Linked DNA regions of Saccharomyces cerevisiae S288C. The gene in region 1 interacts genetically with each later gene. Each region holds a gene or a part of one and is shown in the gene's direction. Other genes may lie near its edges.

Region 1 (9,535 bases):
TATATACGAACATTAAAAATTCCATTTAAAAATGAGATTATAATAACATGGCGGCAGCGGCCATGACACCAGCACCCATACCGATGACAGCCTTGGCAGCACCGTTTTCAGTTTGTTCGGAAACAGTGCTAGTGGCTTGAACTTGACCATCACTGATTTGAGAAATGGCGGAGGCTTTGGTGGAAGAAGCAACAGCTGAAGAAACAGCAGAGGAAGAAGCCTTAGTGGAAGAGGCAGCCTTGGTAGAGGAAGCGACGGTGGAAGAGGTAGCCTCACTGGAAGAAGCGACAGCAGAAGAAGTAGCAGCAGAAGAAGAAGCTTCACTGGAAGAAGCGACGGCAGAAGAAGTAGCTTCACTGGAGGAAGCGACGGCAGAAGAAGTAGTTTCACTGGAGGAAGCAACAGCGGAAGAAGTAGCAGCAGAAGAAGCTTCAGTAGAAGAGGCAGCGGTGGTAGAAGTTCCTAACAAGGATTCCAATTCTGGTAGAAGCCTGGAAGAATACCATGGAACCATGGTCAACATCTTGCTAACAGCAGCAAAGTCAACCTCAGAGTACAAAGTAGTGTAGGAGTCATCAGTGGCGGAAGCCAAAGCTAAACCGATGTCTAAAACACCAGATGGCAGACTGCTTAAGGAAAATCCAGATGAAGAATCTTCAGCCAAACTAATATATTCTTGCAAGTTGGACTTAACGTCATTCAAAATAACGTTCAATTCGTCAATTTCTTCCTGAGTTTGGGCAGAAGCCAAAGCAGCGATAGCAGCTAATAAAGCGATCTTGATGTAAGCCATTTTTTTGTTATAGTTGAAGCGAGTGTACGAGTGTGTTTTGTATTATTGTGCTGATAATGGCTAAACTGGAAAAGAAGATGATATGTGAGAGCTCTCATTGTTCGAATTTCGTTAACTACTTATATATTATTTTCCGTAGTTACGAAAGTTGAACATTACTTTGTTGTTTTCTTGCTTACTCGTTTACTCACATGATGCTCAGCTATTAAGATAGTTCAGTAGAACATCTTACACTAAACTTTGCACCACAATGTTGATGGTTGCTTTGGGAGATCATTACGGAAAAAAAACTCTTGGCTTTCAAGGATTCCCTGCGACCTAACTCTGCACTCCTTCTGCAAGGTACTGTTTATTTTTTTCGTGTGTCCTTTACGAGGAACGAATAAAGGCTTGAAAGGTAGTTTTAAAGATGAACTTCTTCTTTTCTTTCTTTGCCTATGATTCCTCCAGGGTTTTCTTGCCTTCTACTTTTGGACAGAAATGTCTTTTTTGGGAAATGTGAGTCTCGTTTGGGAATCTTGGCCGGCCAAGATTTTATAAAGATGTTTCTGTAGGCAACGCGCTGCTCTAAGCACCGTGGGGAGGCCATGAAATATGATTGCGCGTAGTTCCCCAACGTTACGTTTATTTTTTTCTGGGCATAAAAAAAGCCAAGACATTCCCCACTGCTTTCCTACAGGCTCTCTATTGTGTATACTTTGCGCTATTGTGTGCTTTGTTGTTGGTCCGAAGATCGCATAAGAGGCACGCCTCTTATCAATTTCTTTATAGGCGGCTACCGCCAGTGGAGTAAAATTCACGCCTTTTTTGTCCACTCCTTTTTCCGTAAATATTACATAATTAAATAGTCACAGCTCTTACGCACCTGTTTGGCCGCACATGAGAGTTAAACGCAAACTCCGCCGAGGCGTCGTTTTTCTAGCTGCTGCTTCACGTTTTATGGAGTCATATTCTGGTCTAAAAAAATTATACTAGGCAGGTAATGGATTGTTTTAAGTTTCTTGTTAACTCACATAGGATCTTTTTTGAGTACCTTGTGAAATGGTTAGATTTGATACCTTATTTTTTTCCAACATTACATTATTTTAGTATCGTTCAAGTTCTCCTTTACTTTTAGAGATTACGCCTACATTATGTATGCCGAACTTAGTAGGAACTATTTGTACGCAAAACATGAATTGTTTGTCGTGTCTGCATACATTAGTGTTGACAGTCAGAGAACTTGATTTTAAAAATAAAAGTTTCTTGTTTACAAAAAAGTATGGTCACCCGGTGTCTTTGCTATAATGGGAACAGAAAACCATTTGCAAGACTACTAAAATACGATTTTGTAATTTGACGTTACAAATATAGGGATAGTTGATAAATAGTTACGCGCAGTTAACTTTTCCTCACCAAAGGACAGTTATTTACCTACTGATTGAAAATGTTTTGGCACAGGATACCAGTTTTCAAATTTATTAATTAATTAAGGAGAAGTGAGAAATGATTAGAAAGCAATTAAGCGGTGAAGGTCTGCTTTTTATACTTACAAGAACGTATTATTAGCAGCCAACGCACTACAGTTGTTGACTAAGTTTTGTTTTAATTTGATTCGTAGTTGTTGGTCGAATTTTGTTTTGACTTGTTTTCAGTTTCTTTTTTTTTAATGCCTGACGTTGAAGAGCACGCAGGCCTATGAAAAAAAAAAATTATACGAGTTACTTGGAATTCGCTCCCATTGCACCAATTTCAGGAAGCGATCAAAAAGAAAGCAATGTTATTCAACATAACTTTATTCATACTGTAGTAACAATAACTTCATATCAATTAGGATTCACTGTTCATTGACTTATCACTACAATATGGAGGAAACGTTGCGTAATCGTTGTCGCTATAGATATTGTCCCTCCCTTCCTCTGTGATAGTTCTTCTTTATATAACTTTCACAAAAGCTTCTGCCCTCATAGTTGCCCTCAATAAACGAAAGGCCAGATGCATACAGGTGCAGTAGTACATCCAAAGAAACATAGGGGCAAAAACCGTGTTCTAATATTAGACTGCATATATCCCCTTGTCATTAGCTTAAATCATATAGAGTAATATGTACATACAGGTTATTTTATTTGTAGCTTTCCTCCTCTTTATGGAGCAAAGTAAGCCATACGAACGGTTTACAATAGAGAGCGTCGTTTGCTTACGTGATTGTCATGTGCCTTCGTAGGCAAAGGGGATTGCACACCTTTTTACTAAACAATAGAAAAGTGAGAATTCTCTTATAGGCACTGCTGCTCCTCGTTTCTTTTTACGCGCTGTCGTTCCAGGTCCTTTTTTCGATTAACTACGGTAGTTTCAAAGAGAGTGCCTGAAGATCACTCCATATACAGGCTAGATGAACTGTAAACGAGCTCATCAGCAGCGTCCCTTTCAGTGTCACTACAGCCACAGCAGCTTACCTCCTGTACGATGTGACAGAGCAAAACACAAATGTGTGTCCTTTCTACTCTTATTTTCCAACTCGAATATAAAGACGGTGCCTTTGCCTTATTTCTAAGGCACTGAACAGTTCTAAAAGTAAAGTTTTCCCTAGCCTTAGTACCGTTTCTGTGAAGCAGTTATTGAATAGTTATTGGACATAAAAATCCATATTGAAAAAAAAAAAAACATACTTGAGAAGGCATTAGCTGAATAGTAAAGACTGCTGTAATTCATCTCTCAGTCCTTGCAGTCTGCTTTTTCTGGAATTAATATGTCAATTTCAAAGTACTTCACTCCCGTTGCTGACGGGTCACTCACTTTCAATGGCGCGAACATTCAATTTGGCGCCGATGCTCAAGGCGAGTCAAAAAAGAGTTATGACGCTGAGGACAGCATGCCGAATCCGGCAAATCAACTAAATGACATAACCTTCCAAGCAGAGGCTGGTGAAATGGTTTTGGTTTTGGGTTATCCCACATCCACTCTATTTAAGACTTTGTTTCATGGTAAAACTAGTTTGTCATACTCTCCTCCAGGCTCGATTAAATTTAAAAATAATGAGTTTAAGAGCTTTTCCGAAAAATGTCCCCACCAAATCATTTACAATAATGAACAAGATGTGCATTTCCCATTTCTAACGGTAGAACAAACAATTGATTTTGCCTTGAGTTGTAAGTTCGATATTCCAAAAGGTGAGCGCGATCAAATAAGAAATGAACTTCTAAGAGAATTCGGCCTGTCTCATGTATTGAAAACTATTGTAGGAAATGATTTTTTCCGTGGTGTTTCTGGTGGTGAGCGTAAACGTATTTCTATTATTGAAACGTTTATTGCTAATGGTTCCGTTTATCTATGGGATAATTCTACTAAAGGTTTAGATTCCGCCACAGCTCTCGATTTTTTGGAAATTCTTAGAAAAATGGCAAAAGCTACTCGTTCTGTAAACTTAGTCAGAATTTCCCAGGCAAGTGATAAAATTGTTGATAAGTTTGACAAGATTCTTATGCTATCCGATTCCTACCAGCTTTTCTATGGTACGGTCGATGAGTGTTTGACTTATTTTCGTGACACTTTAGGTATTGAGAAAGATCCTAACGATTGTATTATTGAATATCTGACCTCTATCTTAAATTTTCAGTTCAAAAATAAAAATTTGGGGAATTTATCAAATTCATCATCTGCTAGCGTTCTCAAAACCGCAACAGGGGAAGTCACTAAGTATACTTATAATTCTGATTTCGATTTATATGATCAATGGAAACATTCTTCGTACTATAGAAATATAAAGCAGCAAATCCAGGGGTCTTCAATTGATGACTCCATTAAGGAAGTGGATCCCTCTGATGTCTCACCTATTTTTAATATTCCGTTGAAGAAACAATTATTATTTTGCACAAAAAGAGCTTTTCAACGAAGTTTGGGTGATAAAGCTTATATGACGGCACAATTTATTTCTGTCGTTATTCAATCTTTGGTCATTGGTTCACTGTTTTACGAAATTCCGTTGACTACCATTGGTTCATACTCAAGAGGTTCTTTAACCTTTTTCTCCATTCTTTTCTTCACTTTTCTTTCTCTTGCAGATATGCCTATTGCCTTCCAAAGACAACCCGTCGTTAAAAAGCAATCCCAACTTCACTTCTATACTAACTGGGTTGAAACCCTTTCAACAACAGTGTTCGACTACTGCTTTAAACTTTGTTTGGTAATTGTATTCAGTATCATCCTATACTTCCTTGCTCACCTGCAATACAAGGCTGCAAGATTTTTCATTTTCCTCCTGTTCCTTTCCTTTTACAATTTCTGTATGGTGTCCTTATTCGCTTTGACGACACTAGTTGCTCCAACCATTTCAGTTGCAAATTTATTTGCAGGTATTCTGCTACTAGCTATAGCAATGTATGCTTCTTACGTCATCTACCTGAAAAATATGCATCCTTGGTTTGTATGGATTGCTTATCTAAATCCTGCAATGTACGCTATGGAGGCAATACTGTCTAATGAGCTTTACAATTTGAAGCTGGATTGTAGTGAGACAATTGTTCCAAGAGGTCCTACTTACAACGATGTTCCATTTTCCCATAAGGCCTGTGCTTGGCAAGGTGCTACTCTGGGTAATGATTACGTTAGAGGCCGTGATTACTTGAAGCAAGGTTTATCCTACACGTATCATCATGTGTGGAGAAACTTTGGTATTATCATTGGTTTCCTAGTATTCTTTATTGCCTGTACTCTGTTTGCATCTCAATATATTAAGCCTTATTTCAATAAGGATGAAATAGAGCGCAACAATAGTCGTTTGACAAGATGGCTACCATTTTTGAATAAAAAGAGAGGTACCAGGTCCTCTGCAAGAAATGACAGTAAGTATGTTGGTATCCCAAAGTCGCACTCCGTTTCGTCTTCCTCGTCTAGCCTGTCGGCTGTTCCATATCAGATATCACCCTCAAATAAGGAAATGGCTCTAAACGATTATAACGAGCAACCTATCACGGAAACAGTAGAGACTCAAAAGCATATCATCTCTTGGAAAAATATCAACTACACAGTTGGTACAAAGAAACTGATTAATAATGCATCCGGTTTCATCAGTTCTGGTTTGACCGCCTTAATGGGTGAGTCCGGTGCAGGTAAAACTACTTTGCTGAATGTCTTATCACAAAGAGTTGAGACAGGTGTTGTTAGCGGCGAAATTTTGATCGATGGCCACCCATTGACAGATGAGGACGCGTTTAAGAGAAGTATTGGTTTTGTTCAACAACAGGATTTGCATCTAGATTTGCTGTCTGTGAAAGAATCTCTGGAAATATCATGTCTTTTGAGAGGTGATGGTGACAGGGCATACTTAGACACTGTTTCAAATTTACTGAAATTGCCATCTGACATTTTAGTCGCTGATTTAAACCCGACTCAAAGGAAGCTTTTATCTATCGGTGTTGAACTTGTTACTAAGCCTTCACTTTTATTATTCCTAGACGAACCAACCTCTGGGCTGGACGCTGAGGCTGCACTAACAATCGTCAAATTTTTAAAACAACTTTCTTTACAGGGTCAGGCTATTTTTTGTACCATTCATCAGCCTAGTAAAAGTGTCATCAGCCATTTTGACAATATTTTCTTATTGAAAAGGGGTGGTGAATGTGTCTTCTTTGGACCAATGGACGATGCCTGCGGCTATTTCATGTCTCATGACAACACGCTCGTTTACGATAAAGAACATGATAACCCTGCAGATTTCGTCATTGATGCAGTAGGTAACAGTAACTCCTCGGCAGGGAAAGATACAGCGGAGGAAGCTCTTACTTTGAACAAAGAAGCCATAGATTGGAGTGCATTATGGGAATCTTCTGTAGAAAAGAAACTAGTTAAAAAAGAAACAGCTAGGTTAGAAGATGATGCTCGTGCGTCTGGTGTTGATTACACAACCTCATTGTGGAAGCAGCCTTCCTACTTACAGCAATTAGCTCTTATTACAAGAAGACAATATATTTGTACGAAAAGAGACATGACTTATGTCATGGCCAAGTACTGTTTGAATGGTGGCGCTGGTTTGTTTATCGGTTTCTCATTTTGGCACATTAAGCATAATATTATCGGTTTGCAGGATAGTATCTTCTTCTGTTTCATGGCTCTTTGTGTTTCATCTCCATTGATCAATCAAATTCAGGACAAAGCCTTGAAAACAAAGGAAGTTTATGTTGCTAGGGAGGCGAGATCTAACACTTATCACTGGACTGTTCTTCTTTTGTCACAGTCAATTATTGAACTACCACTGGCACTTACAAGTTCCACACTATTTTTCGTCTGTGCCTTTTTCTCTTGTGGATTTAACAACGCTGGCTGGAGTGCCGGTGTTTTCTTTTTAAACTATATGCTTTTCGCTGCTTATTACTCGACTCTTGGTTTATGGCTGATCTATACTGCTCCTAATCTACAAACTGCTGCTGTTTTTGTTGCGTTTATTTACAGTTTTACAGCATCATTCTGTGGTGTTATGCAACCATACTCTTTGTTTCCAACTTTTTGGAAATTCATGTACAGGGTTTCGCCATACACATATTTTGTGGAAACTTTTGTTAGTATTCTATTGCATAACTGGGAAATCAAGTGTGACATGTCGGAGATGGTTCCTGGTCAACCTCTGACGGGGCAATCTTGTGGCCAATTTATGGAAGCTTTCATAGAAGAATACGGTGGCTATCTACATAATAAGAACACTTTCACAGTCTGCGCTTATTGTACGTACACTGTTGGCGATGACTTCCTGAAAAATGAGAATATGAGTTACGACCACGTTTGGAGGAACTTTGGTATTGAATGGGCTTTTGTTGGTTTCAATTTCTTTGCGATGTTTGCTGGTTACTACTTAACTTACGTGGCAAGAATATGGCCAAAGGTCTTTAAAATTATCACCAAAGTAATTCCACACAGAGGGAAGAAGCCTGTACAGAACTAATACCATTTTTAAATATATTTCTACTTTCTACTTAATAGCAATTTTAATTAATCTAATTATTTACAAGTCACCAATGACTGACTAAACAATTGAAAGAGTCCTTTGTACAACAAAAAAAAAGATACTTGTCGCTGACGCTCAAAAAATATTTATATAGCAAAAGTGCACGACAAAAAATGCTTCCAATCGGATTTGAACCGATGATCTCCACATTACTAGTGTGGCGCCTTACCAACTTGGCCATAGAAGCAGTAAACCGTTATTTTGTTGTTTCTCAGAGTGGTACACGTCAGTATGACAATACATCATCCTAAAACGTTCATATGAAACAACCTTATAACAAAACGAACAGAATGAGCAACATGACATATAACTTCGCCTCCCTTAGCTTAACCACCCAAACGTATAGACGCCTGAGCAATTAATTTAGATCCGAGGTTCGGCGCTTCCACCAATTAATATGATCCATATTTTATATAATATATAGGATAAGTAACATCCCATGAAAAGCTGATAATCCGTTCTGACAACTGGTTACTTCCATTGACTGTTTATATTGGGATTTTCAAGACACCCCGGTATTACTCGTACCCGTAAAACAACATACACTTCGTCATGACTGAGAAGAATATAGGAGTAAAAAGAATACCTGAACTAACAGATATAATCAGCATCATGTTTTTTAAGCGAGAATACAGAAATATTCAAATTAAGATAGGCAACAAGGATTAGTTTAAATCTGAAAATCTTTTAAGATTAGGTACCTAATTTAGCTATATTGCTTTATGATTAGTTATAACGTCATTGGAGGAACAAACTATTGGAATAAGAATCGACTATAATCTACCGGCGAGTATTCATAAGCTATTATATTGTGGTAGACGGAGTAGAAAGATAAAAAAGGATTGAAAACAGTCATCTGATTTAATGGAAGCTGAAATGCAAGATTTAATAATGTAATAGGATAATGAATGACAACATAAAAAATAGAAGAAATAATAATAGTAACATTATGTGGAAATATGGGTTTCCTTGGCAGGTTCCTATATCCTTGAGAAAGAGCTTCTAATATATTTTGTATATTTAGTATTATAACTAAGCTGTTAGAAAATAAAATACCGCTAAATCAATTGAGGCGGTATTAAATACCTGTACATTTGAATATTTGGAATGAGAAAGAAATATAGTTACATAATGTACAAAAAAGAAGCAAGAAAGGAATATATATATATATATATATATATATATATATGTATATTGTTATTTAGAATATCTCTCTCTCTTCGAGAATCTCTATATCCTCGAAAAGAACTTTTAGCATATTCACGATAGGTCGTATTATCAATTAAATCAATTACGAAGTTCGGAAGTTATTGCCTACATAATATGATGTCCTGTTCATAAAAATAGAGCCCTAAGAAGTGTTATTAAATTTAACCAGCCTACAAATTAAATATAAAATGAGTGTTATTGTTCCACCGACTTGAATAATTGTACAACTTTAGCTAACATTTTAACTAATATTTTAACGCATCTTATTATCAAGTATTGTAACAATACGTATCATCTTACTATCTCAATGGAAGCATTCTCTTATACATACTGAGTCAAATATCTTGAAGACTCATTATAATGTGTAATAAAAGGACAAAGCAGCGTAGAAGCCTTAAATAACTATGCACTTGGACACATGTCTTCTCACGACGTGTTCAAATATAATGATTTTTCAATCAGCTTTGAAGTTCAATACAAACTTCTTCACTAAAGGATAATAAGCAATCATTATTAATGGCAAAATCGGTTTTCAATTTCTTTCATTTTGAAATATT
Region 2 (9,086 bases), on another chromosome or scaffold:
AAGCAACGTATAAGGTTGTAATTAACACTCTGAAACATTTACCAAACACAAAGTTAGACGCCGTTTTTGGCTTGATTCCGTTGGTAATCCTCTATGTATGGAAATGGTGGTGTGGTACATTTGGTATAACTTTGGCAGATAGATATTATCGAAATCAACCAAAGGTAGCAAATAGACTGAAATCCTTCTATTTCTATGCACAAGCTATGAGAAATGCCGTCGTCATAGTAGTTTTTACTGCCATATCGTGGAGCATAACAAGAAACAAATCTTCAAAAGACCGTCCAATCAGTATTCTGGGTACAGTTCCCTCGGGCTTAAATGAGGTGGGAGTTATGAAAATCCCAGACGGTCTGCTATCTAATATGAGTTCAGAAATACCTGCTTCAATTATCGTTCTGGTGTTAGAACACATCGCTATTTCAAAATCCTTTGGTAGAATTAACGACTACAAGGTTGTCCCTGACCAAGAACTTATTGCGATTGGTGTGACAAATTTGATAGGGACATTTTTTCACTCATATCCAGCAACTGGGTCATTTTCCAGATCTGCTTTGAAAGCAAAATGTAACGTGCGCACTCCGTTTTCTGGGGTATTCACTGGCGGTTGCGTTCTATTAGCACTTTATTGTTTAACTGACGCCTTCTTTTTCATTCCTAAAGCGACACTATCGGCGGTTATTATTCATGCTGTTTCTGATTTGCTGACTTCTTACAAAACCACCTGGACCTTCTGGAAGACCAACCCGTTAGATTGTATCTCATTTATCGTTACAGTGTTCATCACAGTATTTTCATCCATTGAAAATGGTATATATTTTGCAATGTGTTGGTCATGTGCAATGTTACTATTGAAACAGGCTTTCCCTGCTGGTAAATTCCTTGGTCGTGTTGAGGTGGCAGAAGTATTGAACCCAACAGTACAAGAGGATATTGATGCTGTGATATCATCTAATGAATTACCTAATGAACTGAATAAACAGGTTAAGTCTACTGTTGAGGTTTTACCAGCCCCAGAGTATAAGTTTAGCGTAAAGTGGGTTCCGTTCGATCATGGATACTCAAGAGAATTGAATATCAATACCACAGTTCGGCCTCCTCCACCAGGTGTCATAGTCTATCGTTTGGGTGATAGCTTTACTTACGTGAACTGCTCAAGGCATTATGACATTATATTTGATCGTATTAAGGAAGAAACAAGGCGAGGCCAACTTATAACCTTAAGGAAAAAGTCAGACCGTCCATGGAATGATCCTGGTGAATGGAAAATGCCAGATTCTTTGAAATCACTATTTAAATTTAAACGTCATTCAGCAACAACGAATAGTGACCTACCGATATCGAATGGAAGCAGTAACGGAGAAACATATGAAAAGCCGCTACTGAAAGTCGTCTGCCTGGATTTTTCCCAAGTTGCTCAAGTGGATTCAACCGCTGTTCAAAGCCTGGTTGATCTGAGAAAAGCTGTGAATAGGTATGCGGATAGACAAGTCGAATTCCATTTTGCCGGAATTATATCTCCATGGATCAAAAGAAGTCTTTTGAGTGTTAAATTCGGAACTACAAATGAGGAATATAGTGACGACTCTATTATCGCTGGCCATTCTAGTTTTCACGTTGCAAAAGTTTTGAAGGATGATGTGGATTATACTGATGAAGACAGCCGTATAAGCACATCTTACAGTAACTATGAAACATTATGTGCTGCAACTGGGACAAATTTACCGTTTTTTCATATCGATATACCCGATTTTTCTAAATGGGACGTTTAGTGTAGTAGATAGTAAGTACTTTAATTACCCCCCCTGTTTTTAGTTATACATGAAAAGATAATTGTGTTATTAATGTAGATTACCATCAAATAGCTGGAATATTTATTATTTTGAGTATGTTGAATGGCGAAAGTAAAAATAAATTTTATAATTTCCTGAAAGCATTAGTACACGAAAAGGGCCGTTTTCAGTAGTTTAAGGCGCTGAAAAGACATGGTCTAGAAGTTAACTTGAGCTTGAGCCTATTTTCTACAAATGTCCTTTGAAAATACAAAAATAAAAATAAAAATGCATTTAAGTATTAAGCTTATGCTAGATAGAGCAACATTTTCCTAATTTTTTTTGAATTTATTTCATGGTTTTTAGGCGGAAAGAGTTTGGACGGCTTGTCTCTCCTAATGTGGAAGAAATTATGTTTTGTTATGAATCTGAAAAGAAAAATACTATTTTAGCAATACAATGAATTTTAAAAAGTTACCCTGTACTTTAATCCTTCAATTAAAACACTTCTTAAAATAGTATATTTTGAAGATCATCGATATATATACAGAGGCAGTTTTGCAAGGCAGATAACGTTATTGAGTTGTATGTAGGCTGTGTGATTTTAATCTCATAAATCAATAATGGAATAATTTTCTTATTGTTAATATCGATTTATATTTTCCAACAATACAATGAAGTAAGTACTATTTCTATTTGGAAGGAATTCATTCCCCATTTTAGCTCCTCGAGCGGATGAATCCATCACTGTTTTGAAGAAAACCAACAAAGTGTCAAATAGTTGTCTTTTTGAAATTGGTTCTGAAGAGTTTTCGGAAAATGATCTGATAACAGGCCTTTCTAAAAATATAAGGTTGAACGAATGTATGGGTTAGGTAATCAAAATTTAGGCGCCAACAAGGAATTTTTCTTTAAAATCGCATGAAAAGCCTACACTTGGCATAAATAAGGTGCAATTATAAATATAAAAGCAAGATATTTTCGAGATGCTTCCAGGATTTATACAATGAAAGAGCCCAAAGCTGCTGATAACGATGAAGCCGGAAAAACTCTTCTCCGGTTTAGGTACCAGCGATGGCGAGTATGGAGTGGTAAATAGCGAGAACATATCAATAGATGCTATGCAAGATAATAGAGGCGAGTGTCATCGTAGATCCATAGAAATGCATGCTAATGACAATCTGGGATTGGTCTCCCAGCGAGACTGTACCAATCGGCCCAAAATTACTCCTCAGGAATGTTTGAGTGAGACTGAGCAGATATGCCATCATGGCGAGAATAGGACTAAGGCTGGGTTAGATGTAGACGATGCTGAAACCGGTGGTGATCACACCAATGAATCCCGTGTAGATGAATGTTGTGCTGAGAAAGTGAACGACACTGAGACTGGCTTGGATGTGGACAGCTGTTGCGGCGATGCTCAAACAGGTGGTGACCACACCAATGAATCCTGTGTTGATGGATGCTGCGTTAGAGATTCTTCAGTGATGGTCGAGGAAGTTACAGGCAGCTGCGAAGCTGTATCTTCTAAAGAACAATTGCTGACCAGCTTTGAAGTTGTTCCAAGCAAATCTGAAGGTCTGCAATCTATTCATGATATTAGAGAGACAACTCGCTGCAATACCAATTCCAACCAACACACAGGGAAGGGTAGGCTTTGCATCGAATCAAGTGACTCTACACTCAAGAAAAGAAGTTGTAAAGTTAGCAGACAGAAAATTGAGGTTTCCAGTAAGCCTGAGTGCTGCAACATTTCATGTGTTGAGCGGATTGCATCTCGTAGCTGTGAAAAGAGGACTTTTAAAGGTAGCACCAATGTTGGAATTTCTGGGAGTAGCTCTACCGACAGTTTAAGCGAGAAGTTCTTCAGCGAACAGTACTCTAGAATGTACAATCGTTACTCCTCAATTTTGAAAAATTTAGGTTGTATCTGTAACTATTTGCGTACTTTGGGAAAAGAATCTTGTTGTCTCCCAAAGGTGCGTTTTTGTAGCGGGGAGGGTGCTTCTAAAAAGACAAAATACTCCTACCGCAACAGTTCTGGATGTTTAACAAAGAAAAAGACCCATGGAGACAAAGAAAGGTTGAGCAATGACAATGGCCATGCTGATTTTGTTTGTTCTAAAAGTTGTTGCACTAAAATGAAGGATTGTGCTGTTACCTCAACTATTTCTGGACACTCTTCGAGTGAAATTTCAAGAATCGTATCAATGGAACCAATTGAAAATCATCTTAATCTTGAGGCAGGATCTACCGGTACCGAGCACATTGTTCTTAGTGTTTCAGGAATGTCCTGTACTGGTTGTGAATCAAAACTTAAGAAATCATTTGGCGCGCTCAAATGTGTTCACGGTTTGAAGACCAGTTTAATATTATCGCAAGCTGAATTTAATCTGGATCTTGCTCAGGGATCTGTCAAGGATGTTATCAAGCACTTGAGCAAAACTACTGAATTCAAGTACGAACAGATTTCAAATCATGGTTCAACTATAGATGTTGTTGTTCCTTATGCAGCAAAAGATTTTATTAATGAGGAATGGCCACAAGGTGTCACAGAGCTGAAAATTGTTGAGAGAAATATCATTCGTATTTACTTTGACCCAAAGGTTATAGGTGCCAGAGATCTTGTCAATGAAGGATGGAGCGTGCCTGTTAGTATTGCTCCATTCAGTTGTCATCCAACCATTGAAGTGGGAAGGAAGCATTTAGTTCGTGTAGGCTGCACGACCGCTTTATCCATAATATTGACGATCCCGATTCTCGTGATGGCTTGGGCTCCACAGCTTCGTGAAAAAATTTCCACTATCTCCGCGTCAATGGTGCTAGCAACTATTATTCAATTTGTTATTGCAGGACCGTTTTACTTAAATGCCTTGAAGAGTTTGATATTTTCCAGGCTCATTGAAATGGATCTACTAATAGTTTTAAGCACTAGCGCTGCCTACATATTTTCGATTGTATCATTTGGATATTTCGTTGTTGGACGCCCGTTATCTACGGAGCAGTTTTTTGAAACCAGCTCTTTGCTTGTAACTCTCATCATGGTTGGTCGCTTTGTGAGTGAACTAGCTAGACATAGGGCTGTAAAGTCAATATCAGTACGTTCCTTACAGGCCTCTTCTGCTATTCTGGTGGATAAAACTGGTAAAGAGACGGAAATTAATATTAGACTTCTCCAATATGGCGATATTTTTAAGGTTTTACCTGATTCAAGAATCCCAACTGATGGAACAGTCATTTCTGGGTCTTCTGAAGTCGACGAAGCGTTAATCACAGGTGAATCTATGCCAGTCCCGAAAAAGTGTCAATCAATTGTTGTTGCAGGATCGGTGAATGGCACTGGTACTTTGTTTGTGAAGCTGAGCAAGCTTCCAGGGAACAATACTATTAGTACCATAGCCACGATGGTTGATGAAGCAAAATTAACTAAGCCAAAGATCCAAAATATCGCTGATAAAATTGCAAGTTATTTCGTGCCAACTATCATTGGAATCACTGTCGTCACCTTTTGCGTTTGGATAGCGGTTGGAATCCGTGTGGAAAAGCAATCCCGCTCCGATGCCGTAATTCAGGCCATTATATATGCCATTACGGTACTTATCGTTTCGTGTCCCTGCGTGATTGGACTTGCCGTTCCTATCGTATTTGTTATTGCAAGTGGCGTCGCTGCGAAAAGAGGGGTAATCTTCAAATCAGCAGAGAGTATAGAAGTTGCTCACAACACTTCGCATGTTGTCTTCGATAAAACGGGTACCCTAACTGAAGGAAAACTTACTGTAGTACATGAAACTGTTAGGGGTGATCGTCATAATTCTCAATCTTTGTTGCTTGGATTAACTGAAGGAATAAAACACCCAGTTTCCATGGCAATAGCATCCTATCTCAAAGAAAAAGGTGTTTCTGCTCAAAATGTTTCTAATACAAAAGCTGTGACTGGTAAGCGGGTAGAAGGAACATCATACTCTGGTTTGAAGTTACAAGGAGGGAACTGTCGTTGGCTTGGTCATAACAATGATCCTGACGTTCGAAAAGCCCTTGAACAAGGATATTCTGTATTCTGTTTTAGTGTTAATGGTTCAGTCACTGCAGTTTATGCATTAGAGGACTCTTTACGGGCAGATGCTGTCTCCACTATTAACTTGTTACGCCAAAGAGGGATTTCACTACACATTTTATCAGGGGATGACGATGGAGCCGTTCGTTCTATGGCAGCCCGTCTTGGAATTGAAAGCTCCAATATTCGTTCTCACGCAACGCCTGCAGAAAAGAGTGAATATATTAAGGATATTGTCGAAGGAAGAAATTGCGATAGTTCTTCGCAGTCAAAAAGACCGGTTGTTGTTTTTTGCGGTGACGGAACAAACGACGCAATTGGTTTGACTCAAGCAACGATTGGAGTTCATATCAATGAGGGAAGTGAGGTTGCCAAGCTAGCTGCTGATGTAGTTATGTTAAAGCCAAAGCTCAACAATATTTTGACTATGATAACTGTAAGTCAAAAGGCCATGTTTAGGGTCAAATTGAATTTCTTATGGAGTTTTACTTACAACTTATTTGCTATCCTTTTGGCGGCTGGTGCCTTTGTTGACTTTCATATTCCACCAGAGTATGCGGGTTTAGGGGAACTAGTTAGTATCCTCCCTGTAATTTTTGTAGCTATACTTCTGCGTTATGCAAAGATTTAGTCCAGGTACTGCTGCTATTTGATTGTAGATTTTCTTTTTTCTTTTCTTTTTTTTTTTTGACGACTCTGTAATACTCTATTTATTATTTAGTTTAGTTTTCTATTTAATATGATGGAATTCATAAAAAAAAAAAATACACATAGCCATGCCAGGTAATTGCAGATCAACTGATAAATTAGAAAAAAATTAATGCATCTTTAAGGTTTTAAATTAGAAATGTTTTAACTTTAAAGTCACTGAGCAATAAAAGTTCTACCTAATGTTGTAAAACTGTATTCATAACCGAAACACATTATGATTATGTCATTTGGTATTCCACACCAAAGCGAGGAGCATTCAAAATGATACCATTTATGATACCGGCAATCAAACCAGCAATTGGTAAAGTTAAAAACCAACCAGAATAACACCAGGCTACCATTCTCCAATTAACTGATTTGAGATCCTTGTTACATAAACCAACAGCGACAATACCACCAACGGCGATCTGGGTTGTTGAGGTAGGAATACCTAATTGGGTAGCCATGACAGTAGTAATAGCAACAGCTAGTTCAATTGAAAAGCCTCTTGATGGCGACTGCAAAATCATCTTATTACCTAGATTTTTGATAATATTGTAACCATAAGTCCAGCAACCAATAACTAAGGCAACACCACCATAAGCCAGAACCCACACGGGAACTTCGGACTTTGCCCCAATAGTGTTAGTTTTCCAGATCACATACACAGCAGACAAAGGACCAGTAGCGTTGGCAACGTCATTAGCTCCATGAGCAAAAGACATAGTGGCTGCAGTAATGGCTTGGAGAACCGAATAGATATATTCTACTCTATTGTCGTAAAATTTAGATCTTTCGTACATTCCTTTCAGGTCACCAGATAACATATCTCTATCATTAACTTGAGCATGAATGACGTCTTGAGTCCAACCATGAGAGATTACTAACCAGAACAATAAGGGCCATTTTTTAGGTCCTTGCTTTAATAATGACCACCAATATTGTTTCGTTGACAACTTTGTTTCTGGTTCAGTTTCAGTTCTAACCAGGTCCACTTCCTGGATGTCTTCTTTGTTTTTGACGGAATCATTAGAATTACTCGCTGCCTTATTTTCTTCGTCTTCAACAGAAACAGTTGTTCCAAGATTTCTTCTGCCCTCGTAATAATCGATTGTTAATTGATGGCCTTCTGGCATTGGTGGGATATCATCAGTGGACTTAAAGTAAAAAGATGGACCTCTGAAAATATCAATCAACTTTAGTGTCCAATCTTGGTCCAAAACTTTTCTTCTGTAGAATGGGTAGAAAAAGATGAAGTAAACGATCGAAGCAATTGCACCTGTGAGAACAATAGATACGGCAGTTTCAGTTTCAGATAAATCGTCCAAGTGTAGGTTTGGAGAACCCTTCCAGACAATCAACATTGTTAAGATAGAGAAAGTGGCGAATACTAAAACACCAACCAGCAGTAAAGCATTCTTAATCGATCTTTCCAAAGACTTAACTTCAAGGACAGAAAACCTAGAAATTGAAAAAACTATAGCTGCGATCGCGCCTGCCAAAATCGGAGCAATGAACCATGACGCAATAATTTGAGAAACACCACTCCAACCCCAAACGACACCGTTAGCTCCACCGGCTGCAATCCCAGCGCCAATTGTACCACCAACAATGGAATGTGTAGTAGAAACTGGCATTCCGATTGCAGTAGCAAATGTTAACCAACAAGACGAGCCAATCAAAGCACTGGTCATAGTAAGCATTAAAACAGCGGGGTCGTTGGTAAAAATGGAGGAATCTATAATGTTGTTCTTGATAGTACCAGAAACTCTTGCGCCTGCCAAGACAGCACCCAAGAACTCACAGAGACCCGCCAAAACCATGGCTTGCCAGTATTTTAGAGATCTAGAAGAGATCGACGACGCGAATGAGTTCGCCACGTCGTTTGCCCCGATGTTAAAGGCATCCAAAAATGCAAATAACATGGCAATGGCAAAAATATAGTCAAATTGATGTAAAGCCATTTTTGCTTAATCTTTGTTTATATTGATTCGATTAGATACGCTCCAGTATTCTCACCTTTGATCTATGTCACTCATTCTATGACAATTCATGTAAAATAACCTCAATGTAAAGATCATCTTCAGCAGGTTTATATATAATTTTCTTCATATCGAAAACCGGGCTTAGTGACATGAATTGTTTGGAGATGTCCACCCAGTAGACATTGTAAAAAAAATCTGCTATTGACTGAGTTAATCTAATGATTTACATAATAGAAGGATCCAAAGTGGCTGTGACATCTAGTATTGATAGATTAGTATTATTACTATTTGTCTCCCACGTGCTGCATTGTCATATGCAATTTATTAAGATTACATAAACTCCTTTGTACGGTATATTCTTAAAGCCTTTCAATGACTCGGGCCAATTTTTAGCAATATTTCGACATTTAAGGGCCCACTAACAAATTAATGGCACAACGTGGGGATGACGAAAAAGCAGAAAAAGAAAAAAAAGGTCTATCGCACAGCCACACACCCTTGTGGTGAAGCCGTTTTGTGATCGGTGTGGCGCGATCTGTGAAATTTAAACTTTTTTGCGGGTGAAACCGAGATTTCTGAAACTAG

The links.
Region 2: mutations in AUS1 (region 1) and PCA1 together harm fitness less than expected from each alone (positive genetic interaction), as found in Saccharomyces cerevisiae (2 studies listed by BioGRID).

The regions. Positions count from the first base shown.
Region 1 is NC_001147.6:346,158-355,692, forward strand, and holds AUS1 (ATP-binding cassette sterol transporter AUS1), read left to right. Parts: upstream 1-3,521; coding exon 3,522-7,706; downstream 7,707-9,535. Other genes in the region: TIR2 (putative GPI-anchored mannoprotein), read right to left, coding at 38-793; YOR011W-A (uncharacterized protein), read left to right, coding at 9,495-9,535. UniProt on the Saccharomyces cerevisiae protein: Transporter involved in the uptake of sterol.
Region 2 is NC_001134.8:790,043-799,128, forward strand, and holds PCA1 (cation-transporting P-type ATPase PCA1), read left to right. Parts: upstream 1-2,806; coding exon 2,807-6,457; downstream 6,458-9,086. Other genes in the region: SUL1 (sulfate permease), read left to right, coding at 1-1,772; PHO89 (Pho89p), read right to left, coding at 6,756-8,480.